2 linked regions of the Lonchura striata genome follow. The protein of the gene in region 2 purifies or fractionates together with the protein of the main gene of each other region. This does not show direct contact. Links are inferred from orthologs where the notes say so. Each region holds a gene or a part of one and is shown on either strand. Other genes may lie near its edges.

Region 1 (6,960 bases), on a different chromosome or scaffold from region 2:
GCCCGGCTGGCACCACCCCCAGGGACCTGCCACCCCCCTGGGACAGCCAGAGGCACAAACTGCTGGGGCAGAGGGGAGAATGGGGCTGGGGGAGGAAGTTTTGGGTGCAGGAGGAAGTTTTGAGTCACGGGAGGGAGGTTTTGATGGCGATTTGAGTCAGGAAAAGCTCTGAACCGGGGATGGCTGAGCAGGAAGACCCCCAGGTGCGATCTCTGGGGGTCTCAGCGCTGCTGCCGGGGCACGGCTGGGGCATCCCCGTGTCCCCACGTCCCCGTAAGCCCATGGCCGCGCTGCCCACCTGGAGCACTCCTGCTTGTAGATGTCGATGATGTTCTCCACCAGCAGGTTCCTCTGCAGCCCGTAGACGCCGTGGCGGTCCAGCAGCACCTCGTGGCGGCACGAGGGGCACCGGAACCGGCCCCCCGAAATCAGACTGCCGCGGCTCTGCCAGTACGGGTTGGCAGCCTGGGAGGGGAAGATGAGCCCGGGGGGTCCATCAGTACCCCCACAACACCCCGGTGCCCCCCGGGCCGGGCGCGGGGGCCCCGCTCACCTGGAAGACGTCGTTGGCGCACTTGCGGCACAGGTTGTGCTGGCAGGGCAGGATGACCACGGGCTTGCTGAACATCTCCAGGCAGATGGGGCAGATGAGCTGCTTCTCCAGGCTCTCCATGGGGCTGCCATCCTGCAGGATACCGCCTTGGAAATCCATGGGCTCCTCAGGGCTCTGCTCCCGGCGCTCTCGCCGCCGGCGCCCCTCGCCCCGCTATTTATAAGCCGCCGCCTCGTCACGCGTTTGCCGGTCGCGGCTCGGTGTCGGGTGTCCCGGGACAGGGGACAGCAGCTGTCACACGGTGCTGAGCCACCGCAAGGGCCGGTAAACAAGATGGGCACAGGCTGTCCAGGAGGCGCTGCCCACCCGTGCCGCGGACGTGCCCGAGCGGGAGCCGCGGGGTAAACAAGCGGCTGCGCGTCCCGAGACCCCGGAGCAGCAAGCGCCAGCCCCGCGGTCATGAGGACATTGCGACGGTTCCAGAAATCCGCAGCAGGGCTGGCTCGTACAGTTTGTCCCTTTCCCCACCCAAAACAGGAGCAAATCTGGGGGGCAAACGCCTCCCCCCGTGCGCTGGAGGGACGCAGCCCCCATGGCTGGCACACGCAGCGGGGTGTGCCCTCCCCAGGCACGGGCTGGGGGGCTCCTCCGGGAGCCCAGACCCAGAGGGGGCTGCTCAGGCTGCCCTGGCACGGCCCTGGCACGGCCCTGGCACAGCCATGACCCAGCTGGCTCCGCTGCTGGGGTTCAAGCGCTGACCCAGAAACGGCTGGGGGGGCAGAGGGTGAGCACAGCCCTGGCTGGAAGCAGCCCCGGCCACGATCCCCGCCGGGCTGGCCAGGGGCCAGCGCTGGCCGCGGGGAGAGCTGCCAGCGCGGCTGGCACAGGGGTCACCACGGGGGGACGGGGTGGCAGCGGCGGTGCCCACAGCGACTGCGGGCAGGAGATGGTACCGGGGTGGGGGGGCACCTGGGTGCACAGGTACGGGGTACAGGGGGTACCTGCACAGGTATGGGGTGCAGGGGGCACCTGGGTGCACGGGTACGGGGTGTGGGGGGACACCTGGGTGCGCAGGTATGGGGTGCAGGTGTCTGTGAGCACACAGGTGAGCAGGGATGCACAGGTACATGGATAAGTGGATGCACAGGTACATGGATAAATGGATGCACAGGTACATGGATAAGTGGATGCACAGGTACATGGATAAATGGATGCACAGGTATATTAATAAATGGATGCCCAGGTACATGGATAAATGGATGCACAGGTACATGTATAAATGGATGACCAGGTACATGTATAAATGGATGACCAGGTACATGTATAAATGGATGCACAGGTACATGGATAAATGGGTGACCAGGTACATGTATAAATGGATGCACAGGTACATGGATAAATGGGTGACCAGGTACATGGATAAATGGATGCACAGGTACATGGATAAATGGGTGCACAGGTACATCGATAAATGGGTACCCAGGTACATGGATAAATGGATGCACAGGTACATGGATAAATGGGTACCCAGGTACATGGATAAATGGATGACCAGGTACATGTACAAATGGGTGACCAGGTACATGGATAAGTGGATGCACAGGTACATGGATAAATGGATGCACAGGTATATTAATAAATGGATGCACAGGTACATGGATAAATGGATGCACAGGTACATGGATAAATGGATGAAGAGGCACATGGATAAATGGATGCCCAGGTACATGTATAAATGGATGACCAGGTACATGAATAAATGGGTGCCCAGCTCCCTGGATGTGTCACACGCGGTGCACAGCACACGGTGCCGGGGGCACGGACCCCCTCCTCTCCCCACGCGGGTGTTTTGGGCTCCCTCCGCCCCGGCTCACGCGTGGAGCGGGTGGCCGCGCCGGGAGCCGCGGGGCACACGGGGCAGGATCGTTCCCGGGGCGGCGCTCGGGGCTGTGCCAGCGAGGCGCCGGCAGCACGGCGGGGCTGGTGGGCACCCGGGAGGGCAGCGCGGGGGTCGCACCCTATCCTGATGGCATTGGTTCATGAATCGCTGCTGGACTCGCTGAAGGGGACTCCCAGGAGCGGAGGGGCTGTAATGCCCTAAGCAGCTTTCCGAACCCACAAGAGGCTCGTTGGCCCCTAATTGGCTTGGGACAGCTTAGGCAGGAGCCGGGCACTAATCACCCCCGGGATCCTTCCCAATTAACCCCGGAGAGCCCACTGAGGGAGGAATCTCCCTCTGCCGGGGCTTCGCAGGGCTCTGAGCAGTCGGTGGCCCTGGCTTCTCCCAAAATGTCCCTGTGGTGGCTTTGCCACGGTGGGGGAGCCCTGCGCCCCCAGCCCCGGGGCATGGGGGGCACTTCCAGCCCTGCAGCCTGAGGGGGAAAGGGACCCACGGCACAGAACAGGGAACAGCGAGGGGCGACAGCTCTTGTGCCACTGTCACACCAAGCCAGGGCACGCCCAAGGGCCACAGGGGCGCTTTACTCATTTTTTTCTGGACGCCAAGCAATAAATTGTAGAGTCCCAGAATTGTTTGTTTTGGAAGGAGCTTAAGTCCCATCCAATGCTGAAACGCGGAGAAAGATTAAAACCCCACAATTATAATAAAGATTTGTGGGGAACGGTGTGTTTATTCACAGTGTTGTGGATGCATGTGGGGACTCATTGTTCTTTAATGGACATGTGCACCCCTGAGAACTCCTGATCTTTTTTTATTACTCTAACTTCTATATGCATAGAATCTTATAATAGGTTTATGTATATTTATTTTATTTATTTTGCGTTATACTTACAGTTAGTTACACTTGTATTTAGTTTTTGTCAGAAAGAATTCTTGGGTCACTCTGTTTTGTTTGTTTTAAGGTTTGAGGAGTTTTTCTTGTCTCTTATCTTTTTAGTGTGGAAATCTGTATTTTTTTTTTTTTTAGTTAAGGTAGTTTTGCTAGTGCTGTAGTTACTAGACTAAAAAACACATTTTACTTAAATCCAGATTTCTTTCTTGTTAAATTTTTACTTTATCTCATTGCCACCGCGGGGACACCTCCCACTGTCCCAGGCTGCTCTGGGCACGCTGTGCCAGGGCCTGTCCGCCTTCACAGCCAGGAATTCATTCCTAATTAACGAACAGAAATTTAAGTCATTCATTGATTGATTAATTAATTAATTAATCTCATTAAGCGCCCACGGCGCTCGCGTCATGGCCGGGGAGTGGGCGTGGCCGAGGAATGGGCGTGATATTATGTGGGCGTGGTCACTGTGGGGCGCGACCAATGAGCGGGCGTGGTATTGCATGGGCGTGGTCATGGCGGGGCGTGGCCAATGAGCGGGCGTGGTATTACATGGGCGTGGTCACGGCGAGGCGTGGCCAATGAGCGGGCGCGGTGCTGTGTGGGCGTGGCCGCGCGGGGGCGTGGCCGCGCTGAGGGCGGCGGGCGGAGCGCAGCCCTAAGATGGCGGCCGGGCGGCGGCGGCGGCGGCGCTGAGGTAACGCGGCTTCTCCCGGCCCGGTTCGGCCCTGCTCGCCTCGGCTCGGCTCGGCCCCACCGCCTCCCCTTTCCCTTTGTGGTGGTGCTTGTAGCGGGTGGGATCCGGCTGCAGGTCGGGCGGGGGGAGTGGGGCCATGCCCACAGCGGCGGGCCGGCAGCATCGCCCGCTCTGAGGCGGCGCTTTCCCTTCAGGGCCGCAGGTGCGGCCGCGCCGAGCAGGAGGGGTGTATATATATCACCTGCGGTACCTTTATGTTTGTGTTATTCTCTAATCGAGTGTTTATATTATTCGTTATTCGCTGCCTGGGCCCGGTGTCCGCCCGGCCGCCCCCGGGGCAGCCGCGTTCCCCCGGGGCTGTTTGGCCACTGGGAAATTGAGATTAAATTAAAGCTCCTGCCCTTGTTGGCCCATTGCATCTCAGTCCCAGCCCTAATGTGGAGCTGCACCCCTGTTCTCACACACGGCACAGCTTGGTTCAAATCCTTGCTGCAAATGTCCCTCGCACAGCTTTGCTGAAAGGTTAAAATATCTCTGTAGCATTACCTGAGACTGATGATACCTTTTTTCTCTCTCTTTTTCTTTTTTTTCCTTTTTTTTCTAAAAAAAAAAATTACCTAAAGCAGTGGAAATACTTGAAATCTTCCTACTAATAACATGTGGTCCTTATTGCCTGACATAAAGAGAATTACCTTTATCACTGGCTGTCTTAGAGCTATTGTAGTTCTGCTCTATCAGTGTGATTTTATTTATTTATTTACTTTTGGTTTTGCGTTTCATTCTGTTTGACCAGTGATCCTTGGCTAGTCAAGCTCTTATTTTTTTATTTTAATTTATTGCTGTCTCTAGTCAGTGTCCCATTTTGGTTTGGTTGCATGAAGGTGGTGCTGGTGTTTGGTTTGTAATCTTGTAGGGCAGCGTGTAGGGAGGGTCATAAATCTGCAGCAGGGTTTGGTGGCTTTTTTTTTTTTTTTCCCCTTCTTTTTTTTTGTGTGTGTGTGTGTCTCTCTTGTTTTACTTTCAGAGCAATAACTTAACTTTTGTCCTTGCTCTGTTGAGCAAAAGTGAAAGCTAGACGTTGGGTGCAAACTCCTGCAATCAGTTATCCTTTTTAACCTTCCATAGATGTAGATTCCTCGTGCTGGGGAGGCTTGGCGAAAAATCAGTCACCTCAAAAAGATAAACGGGGAGCGACTGAAGCTTCCTCTCCTTGAGTCAAACAACTGGATGATAACAGAAACGTTTGCTCCCGCAGCCGCCTCCACACAAAAGCAGTTTGCTAAAAGCCATTGCTGCCCACCAGGGCCTCCAGCTGGGACCTCCTTGCTCTCCGGGCTGCTTGGGGAGCATGCCAGCCTCCTGCTGTTCCTGCAGCAGCTCTCGGAAGACGCTGAGGGAGAGGAGCAGGAGCGCTGGCCCTGCCTCGGCACCCTGCCGGGCTAGCTTTGAATTGTTGCCCCCCTGAACACGCCGGGCCGCGTGGGAAACCCTAACCAAAAATGTAATTTCGCTTCCGCCTGGTCCGTGGCAGCAGGTGCAGGTTTATGGAGGAGCTTCTGGAATGTTCTAGCGCTGAAACCCCCGTGAACGGCGGGGTCTGGGCAGGCCAGCCCCTAGGGAGGGGAAACGCAGCGCGCTGCCTGTGCCTGAGTTTTAGTTGTGTGGGTTTCTCCCCCTTCCCCAGAACCTTTGCTCCTGAAGATGGTGAGTAGCCAGCCTAAGTACGATCTAATTCGGGAGGTTGGTCGTGGCAGTTATGGTGTGGTGTACGAAGCGGTCGTCAGGAGGACCTGTGCCCGCGTGGCCGTCAAAAAGATCCGGTGCCACGCTCCCGAGAACGTGGAACTGGCTCTGCGCGAGTTCTGGGCCCTTAGCAGTATCAAGAGCCAGCACCCCAACGTCATTCACCTGGAGGAGTGCATCTTGCAGAAAGATGGCATGGTGCAGAAGATGTCCCATGGCTCCAGCTCCTCCCTGTATTTACAGGTACACGAGGCCGAGGGGACGGGGTGGAAGGAATCGGTGACGCTGAGCTGGGGGGAAGGAGGTGGGGCAGCCCAGGGCTTGGAGCTGTGCTCAGCTAGGCCAGGGCATTATTGCATCGCTGACGCCCAGAATTTAATAGAGGTCTTTAAAAAAAAAACCAGGACAATCGCCTGGATCTTGAGTTTGAAGCTGCGCTGCTCTGAAAGACTCCAGGATTTGTATTTAATGCAGAGCTGCTCTGATAATTTGAGGAAGCCCATGGGGAGGTGCAGGCTGTGGAGTTCTTGGCAGTTGCAGGTTAAAGAACACTCCTGTCCTGGGACAGAGCTTGGAGGAATTCCATCCCGAGTGTCCTTGGAAGAGGAAATCAGTGTCTTCATTTATAGGAAGCCAGCACTTAAAATTCTTTCAGATTGGTAGCACATAATGAGCTGGTTTTATTTTTTAATAAATAACTATTAATCTCTTCAAAGAGTACAAATTAGGGAATACATATCACTGTGAAAGCGTCCTTTAAGTTTGAAGATGTGTATGTTTGAAGAATGAGTAGCTCTGGAAAGACAATGAAAGACAATGTAATTAATTCCCTTGTCAAGAAGCAGCCCTAAGTATAGACCAGCCCCGGGCAGAAATGAGTGTTTCTGGTTTAAAAAGCCAGCAGGCTGCTCGGTGTTTGCTGTGTTGTCCCTAGTCAGCTGTTTTATTTCAGTTTTCACTGCCACCCTGCTGCTGGCACCCTTTGGGGTGAGCAGCCCTGCAGATGCTGGCTGAGAACAGATCCTTGGCTTTGCCAGCTCCCCGTGCCTTGGGAGCTGTTCCTGACTTGTTCTCAGGGAAGGATTTGGCCAAAATAACACTGGCCAGCTCATGGGGCAGAAGTCAGAGCTTTACCTTCCTGGTGTTAGTGGAGCTGCTTCCAGCTGAAGGGCAGATGTGCA
Region 2 (7,810 bases):
GCCAGGCTTCCCCCACAGCAGAGCTGCTCCATCCTCCTGATCACCTTGGTGGTCTCCTCTGGACTCCCTCCAACAGGTCCATGTCCCTCCTGTGCTGGGAACCCCAGAGCTGTGAGCAGAACCCCAGGAACTTTTCACATAAAACAGACAAAAACCAATCTGCTCTTTAAAATACACAGGAGATGGTGACAGCGACTCAGGGGCCAGCAAATGAAGGGATTTCATGCAGACTTGGTCCTTTACTTTCTGGGCTCTGAGGAGCAAGGATCACCACATCTGATCTACTGACAGTGAGGAATGAGAAAGGCACTTGTGGAGAAGAACACTCCCCAGGAATTAGGGAACAAGGATGCAGCCACAGAGGGAGCGTGTGCGAGGGGCAGCCTTTAAATGTGGGATCATCTCAGTGGTCCTGCAGCGACTCTACCAAAGTCCAAAACCCACCACCCATCAGAACTGCTTCCCCAGGGAGAGCAGGCTGAAGGCACACGGCTGGGGCAGAACCTGGGCAGGGTTTGGACAGGGCACAGCTGCACACCCATAACCTGGAAAAGGCACTTTCAGGGTTCTGGGATTACTTATCCAGCTGTGATCCTGAAATGATCACAGTGATGCTCTGGAGCCCCAAGGCACTGTCCCAAAGAGCAGGAAGTCTCAAGCTCCTCTCAGAGCATACACACGTCTAGAAATACACAGGAATTTAAAATTTATGTCAAATTCCAGCCCTACTTCATGCATCATGGTTTTACAGACTCCCAGAATGGCTGAGGTAAGAAGGGAATTCTGGAGTTTCTCTTGTGCAATCCCCCTGCTCAAGCTTTTCTTGCAAGTTCTTGCCAAAATAGTTCAGCCTGACTTTCAGAATGGTTTTTACAAAAATGTGCAAGTGCCCCAAGTTGTTCTTCTCCTTACACCTGTGGAAGTTTGTTCCACAGGAGGGAAATATGTGCATAGAAATCTGTCAAAAGAACATATGTGATTCCCAAAGTCTCCTGCAAACACGATTTCTGTTGGCGTCAACCTCACGGCATTGCACGAGATCAAAGAAAAGCCAATGCAGTATGGTAAAACTTGGGATGGTGAAGCCTCAGTTTCCTTTTGAATCCTGACAACTTTGTCTGGTTTTTTAACTGCTTAATGCTCCTGAGCCTCTGCCAGTGTCACATCCTCGTGCTGGGGAATTGCCACCCTGGAAGGGAGTCACCAACACTGGTGGTGCTAGGCTGGGGATGGAAAATCACCTTTCAATTATGAAATGCATGTATGGCCCCAGCATATGTGGAATGTTTACATCCGTAGAGAAACGGCCCAACTGTCCCGTTCAATCTCCAGGGCAGACTGACAGGGGAATTTTTCTTTAATAAAGAACTTTGATGGAACAGGAATGTCAGCTTTACTGCACACTGCACTGACTGGAACAGGATCAAAACTGAGTTCCACACGATGTTTTCAGGGGAAAAGAGGAGAATGTTTCATGGAATTTCAGTCAGGATTTGGCTAGCATCCTAGAACATATATCTTGTTATGAAAACTGCTGAAACACTTTTAAGTGGGCAAGCCATAAGTGTCCTTGGAGCTATCCAGTCAACTGGAAGTCACACGGGCAGAACCTCCTAAAGTAGAAAAGCCTGAAATTGGGAGGGGGGGCGAGGGAGGGGCAAGTATCTTGGAATCCTATCTGTTATCCAGAACGGCTCCCTTGTGCCTACAGCATGAAGTAGTTACAACTTGTTTTCTGCTATTGTCACAGATCCAGGACGTTACTCTGGCTAAATCATAATCTCTTCCTGCCTCAGTTCATCCATGTGCAAACCTGGCTCGCTAACTCTTACCTTAATGTGTCATGGGGCTTAATTAATAACACTTAGGTCTTTTAAGTCTTCTACAAACATTAACTACTTCTTGTAACAACTCTCCAAGGTATTATTATCCCCATTTTACTCGTGGAGAAACGGCAAAAGAGGTTGTCGCTTGCCCAAGGCAACAGAGTAGTAGTTACACTTAGAGATCTTCCTCACGGGCTACTCTTAACAGTGGAAACATGTCAACAAAGGCTAAGACAAAAACGACAAACTCGAAATTACTTTTAGAAGCGCACCATGAACATCTGGAAGGCGATGGAAAATCCCTCCCAGAAACAACAGGCTTGGGACCAGAAACAGCATCACAACTGTCACCGCAGAGAACGAAGTGCCCTGGACAGACGTAGGCTCGAGCTCACCCGAACAGCCTCACACAAACAGCCAGACCTGTCCTCTCGAGCGCTCTTAAGTACCATAAAATTGAGCAACAGGCTCGTGCGGTGCTCTCCAGTAACACCGAGCGAGCAGATAATCAATGTGGTATGCGGCTCGCTAATTCCTTCCGCCGCCTTCCCAGCAGGGACCGGGAATGCCAATAACGGCCCCGGGCGGCGGGGCTCCTGCACGGTGCCGGTGCCGGCCACAAAGTTGGCGTCCCCGGCGCGCTGGCATCCGCGGAGCCGCCGGCGGAGCCGTGCCCGGGCAGCGCGGAGCCGGCGCCCCGCCGCCCCCGGGCCGCTGACAGGCGCGTCCGGCGCCGAGCCGCGCCAGCAACAGGCGCGTCCTGCGCGGGACCCGCGCGGCACGGCCCGCAGCGCCGCGGCTCCGGCCCGGCCCCGGGGCGCACGGGCCGGGCGGGACCCGCCGCAGGCCTCGGCCCGGGGGGGCGCGGGGGGTGCCAGGCGGGGTGACACCGCTCCGCCGCTGCCCGCGGCAGGGCCGCCCCGCCACGGCCGCGGCCGGGGCTCGCCCGGGGCTCCGAGCGGCCGCGGCGGGCGAGCGCGGCGGGCGCGCGGTGCCCGCGGGCGGCGGGCCCGCGGCGGGCAGGCCCCGAGGGGACATCCCGCCGGTCACTCGCAGCGGCCACCCCGCGCCCCCACCTGATCCCGGGCTGGGACCCGCGCGGCTCCGCCGCGTCACTCACCTGCGGGAGCGGGGGCCGGGGAGCGGCGCCGCGGGGCCGCGCTGCGGGCGGCCGGGCGGCCGGGCGGGCGGAGGGGGCGGGCGGCGGCGGCGGCGGGTCCGCGCTCCGGGCGCTCGGCGCTCAGCGCTCAGTCGCCATTTCCCGCCTACCGACCCGCTGCACCGCACCGAGGGACCCGGATGGCAGCGGGGCCGCCGCGCAGGCGCGCCCGGCCGGGGGAGGGGGCCGGGCCGGGGCAGGCCGGGAAGGAGGGAGCGGAGCGGGGCCTGGCAGGCGGCGGGGCCGGCGGCCGGGAGCGGCGGAGGAGGCGCGGCCGCCCCGCTGTCCCGGCGCCGGGCCGCGCTGGGCCGCGCCGCCGCTCCGGGAGGTGAGGGGAGAGCGGAGCCCTGAGGGCACCGCGGGGCGCGAGCGGCCGGGGGCGGGCGAGAACCGGCCCTGCCCGAGTCCCGGCGGCGGGCGAGAACCGGCCCTGCCCGCGCTCCCCGGGCAGCGGCAGCGCCGGGCAGCACCCGCCGCGGCCGGGCGGACGGGCAGACAGACGGACGGGCGGACAGACGGACGATCGGACGGACGGGCAGCGCAGCCCCGCCCGCCGCGGCTCCGGCCGCCCGCTCCCCGCGCTCCCCCGGGCGCTGCCCGGCTCCCGGCCCTGCCGCCTCGCCCTCCGTGCCATTCCCGAAGCGTAGGGCACTGCCGGCTTGCGGTTTCGGTTGCTGTTTTTAAGTCGCCTGTGGAGTCGGTTGTGAAGTTTTTATTTCCGCTTTCTGTTTTTTTTTTTTTTTTTGTCTTCTAGGCAGCCTCTTCGTGTGGGAAATGCTGAGGATGCTGCGTGATTTGCTATTTAAAGGGCTTAATGAAGCGGCTTGGCCACCTCTTGCAGTATGAGGATGTGGTGACGTTACTTTTCTTGTCTCAATGCTACTGAATTTAGATATCTTAATTTTTCTCTTGGTAATCACTTTTACTTACCAGTCTTTGTAACAGAAATCAGTTCTCAGGTTCACCTGTGTTATGACTGGATAACATCTCAAGGTACTGCCCAGAATGGAAGGTTTTACAGGAGTGTCTGGCATCCTCTAATTTAGCAGTAAAGAAACCTACACGGGTGTTGTGTTTCCTGGTACCTGTTGACTCCCTGCTTAGCTTTTGAACTTGGATCAGATTATAGAAGTCCCAGCTCTCTAGTCACCTAAAATATTTATTGGCTTGTTAAAGAGAAGTACATCTGCTGCTGTGAAGCCAAGATTTGTTTTAGAATTCTGTCACAGGACTCTACTACTCTGTCTTTAACAGAAGACACTACAAAGCTAATTTTACCATAGGAAAGAGGTAGTACGAAAGTAGTGGAAACTCATTCAGAACAGGGAACCATATTCCTTTAGAGCATTCAAGTATTTCTTGTGGATATTTTGTGAATGATCAGCTGTGAAAAAGGTTAGTTTGGGCATGTTGGAGCCTCATTAAGATGGTTTGGCAGTCCCTGAGGAGGAACCTGTATGACAGGATAACTGTGTGATGTCTCACACTGTTACCCCAAAAGGACAGTCACTGGTACTTAGAAAGTGGGAGTTTTGGGAAACGGTGGGTGGAAATACTCTCTCAAGCCATGTAATTAAACTGAAACGAGCGGCCAGAGGAGCTGATCCAGCAAGGTTCAAAGCAAGCAGGTATTTGTGTGAGCACCAGCACGGCCAAAAACACTCTGACAAGAGATTAAATGTGTGACTCAGGATTCAAACTGATCTTTATGGCAGTGAGCACTGCCCTTTTCTGGATAACAGGATATCAAAATTTGTTTTTTCACAGCGCCTTGTGCTCGAGTTCCCTGGTGCTGAATTAGGGAGACTTGCAGGAAAGGGAATATGGAAAACCATCTTGCTGATGGTGTTGCTGTGCTGCTCAGAGGTCCCCTCTGTACCCTGCTCCCCATGGAGCACAGCCTCAGCCCCGAGTGGGCAGTGTGAAAACCCTGTGCTGGCACACGGAGCCTGGGGAGCTCGCAGTGTTTGTCTGGGCCAAGGAAAAGGCTGAGCTGGCAGCACTGGGCTTCCCTGGCCCGGGGATCCGGGCTCCTGGGGCATTTGAGGAGCACGTTTGCTTCACTGCACAGAGAAACCGAAAGGGAAATGTGCACTTGTCAGAACACTGCCCATTCCTGCAGTGGGATCCCCACTGCTCCTCGAAGGCCGTTCCTCAGGGTTGAGGATTTCTTCCCTGCTCTGTCCCCTGAGCCTTGCAGAGCCCTTAGCTCTGTGTTTATACATCATATAAACCAGCAGGTTTTTGTAGCATCTGCAACTCAGGGCTGGGTGGGGTTTATTCCAGCTCCAGTTTCAGTTCAACTTCAGCATCTGGCACTTCTCAGCAAATCCAGGAGTCTCCTTTGGGTTTATATGTTGCTGTTGCCCTTTTCGTGTTTGCTGTTCCTGTTGCCTTTCCAAAGGGGATCAGTTCCATTGGATAGGTGAGCAGAGTTGAGAAGCAGCTCCCAGGCTGTGCTGCTGCTCCATCCCCGGGTCTGGGAGCCAATCTGGCTGTCCAGGAGCAGCTCCAGACTTGCTGTTCTCCCTGCAGACACTCCAGCTGACAGCAACAGGCACTCATCTGCTCCCAGTCCCCGCAGAAACACCCGGGAACGAGCCTTGTGTTTGATCTGGCACAGTGCAGCACTGGAGAGTGGCATGAGACATTCCTGCAGGGGTGGAAATGCACAGCCACCAGCGGGCTTTGGGAAGCTGAACTGTAGATTATCCATCCCAGTAATCCCAGTGTGGCTACACAGGTTTCATAGGTTGAGGAATTGGGAGTATTAGGGTTTCTATATTGGCATAAAAGTGTTCAGGCATAAATATCACTACTGTGTTTCTGGCTGGCTTGAAAATTCCACTGCACTCTCATAAATAGGGAGAGATGGCCCTGGCTGGTTTTGTGGGTTTGTTTTCCTGTTTTATTTAAACTACAGAAATCGGGTCTCCTGAGTGCTGGAGCCAGCTGGAACAGCAGGCCACTGCTCCTCCTTATAAAGTGCCTAATCTCACATTTTCTAGTTCATTGCGGCAAGATTTGTTCCTATCAAGTATTTTGGTCAGCCTCAAGGAAGGGTCCCAGGTTACTTCAGCTGGAATTTCCCTACTTGGCTGCCAGGTTGCTGAAAGCACTCTGTATCTCCGGGAGCAGTGATTGCAGCTGACAGATTTATGGCATGTGGAAATTCTCCTTAATAGGGATAAAGGAGAAAGTTTTCAGATAGAGAGTTTGTGTGTGTACAGGAAATGGGAAATGGGTGCTGCTGAGAGCTCAGGACCTCCAAAACCACCACATGAATGAGCATTGTTCAATCCAGTGTGCAAACTGTAAACGGGCAGTAAATAGATTTATAGAGAAGAAAACATTTTGTACTTCTTGTATATACTACTGCAGAACACTCACTCACCAGCTCTTCTGTCCTGCAGGCTTTGGATTTCCCACTGTTGCTGGGTTTGCATATATGAACATGTAAAATGATAACATTTAATAAAATCCACAAACTATTATCTCGCATCTGTTTGTTTCTTGACACCTCAAAGTATCTTTAGCTCTTCATGGCTATTAAAATGCTGAAAAATACAGGGGTTTGTTTCATCCAGAACTGGGTTTGACCTTTTGGCAAGATCCTGCCCATCAGTTTGGTTTTCCTCATTTTGAAATTAAAATGGGTTCACCAGCGATTCTTTGTTTTTGTGGGATCCATGTGACTTCGGGAAAGCTTTGGCAGAGTCTGTTTGCTGAAAACCTCCAAAACCAGGCAGCTAGGACTGGCTGGAGTAACTGGAGCTGTTTCTCTGGCTGCGGGGTGGAGGTGCCTGCATTTCTGACACTGCCTGAGCTCATCCCTCGGCTCTGGCAGCCGAATGTCAGCTCCTCGTGTGAAGTGCATTGCCACATGGATCCAAAGGGATTTGGAGCCTCGGAGCCAGGAGTGGGTGTGCTGCTGGGGCTACCTGGGCGTGCTGGCTCACATGCGGGCTGGCCGCGGTGCGGTGGGAAGAGGCTTTGCTGGATTTCTGCTGCAGACCTGGAATGTGAGAGCCGGTTGGATTCCCAGTCTCGCTGGGTGCTGAGGGAAGCAGCTGCTCGAGGTCTGTCAGCGTTGTCTGTGTGCCATTGCCATGGCAACGGCAGCGGGCTCCGCACTAAGCACAGGGATGTCTGAGCTGCATTTCCAAAACAAACCCGAGCTGGTTTGTCACCCTCGGTGCTGCACAGCCCGGCTGCAGGGGCAGCTGTGAGCCCACGGCTCCGCAGCTCCTGCTGGGAGAGGTGCTCCAGAGCCCTCATCATCCTGGTGGTCTCCTGGACCCTCTGCAGTAGCCCCTTGTCTTTCCTGAGCTGTGGAGCCCAGGACTGAACACAATACTCCAGGGGTGGCCACACAAGGGTGAAGCAGAGTAATCACTCACGTGGAAAGAGGGAAAAAAGAGAAAACGTGGAATGCTAGAAAAAGAAAAGGCAGAGGACGAACATGGAGCAACTCACCTTCAGCACAGAGCCCAAGAGGGATGGTCCTGCTGATGGGCAGGGAAGGGAAAAGCAGCTGTGAGGACAGAATGGTTTAATCTCAACATTTCAGAAGTAGCTCTATTCAGGGGTCTCCCCAAGCTGTGCCGTGTGGTGCTGCACGACTTTGGAGAATGTGGGGTTCAGCTGGAACCGGGACGCAGCGCTGAGCTGGAGTTCCACTTATTAAATGCAGAAACTGGGGGGAATTTTTTTCGCCACTGACACTTGAAGTAATAATAAACTGTCTTAAAAACCCATAACACAATTGTACAAGCATTGAACTTTATTTAAGAGGTTCACTGAGCTGGCAAGGAGCAAACCTGAC

What was found.
Region 1: the proteins of CTDSPL2 (region 2) and PDIK1L purify together in Homo sapiens (affinity purification with mass spectrometry; 4 studies listed by BioGRID and IntAct, counting the BioPlex papers as one, with this or other methods). This does not show direct contact. The link is inferred for Lonchura striata from reciprocal best matches to the Homo sapiens genes CTDSPL2 and PDIK1L.

Annotation. Positions count from the first base shown.
Region 1 is NC_134628.1:395,206-402,165, reverse strand, and holds the start of PDIK1L (serine/threonine-protein kinase PDIK1L), read left to right. Parts: upstream 1-3,948; 5' UTR 3,949-4,036; intron 4,037-4,659; 5' UTR 4,660-5,737; coding exon 5,738-6,022; intron 6,023-6,960. Other genes in the region: E3 ubiquitin-protein ligase TRIM63, read right to left, coding at 299-465, 554-712.
Region 2 is NC_134613.1:24,082,421-24,090,230, forward strand, and holds the start of CTDSPL2 (CTD small phosphatase-like protein 2), read right to left. Parts: upstream 3,004-7,810; 5' UTR 2,947-3,003; intron 1-2,946. UniProt on the Homo sapiens protein: Probable phosphatase.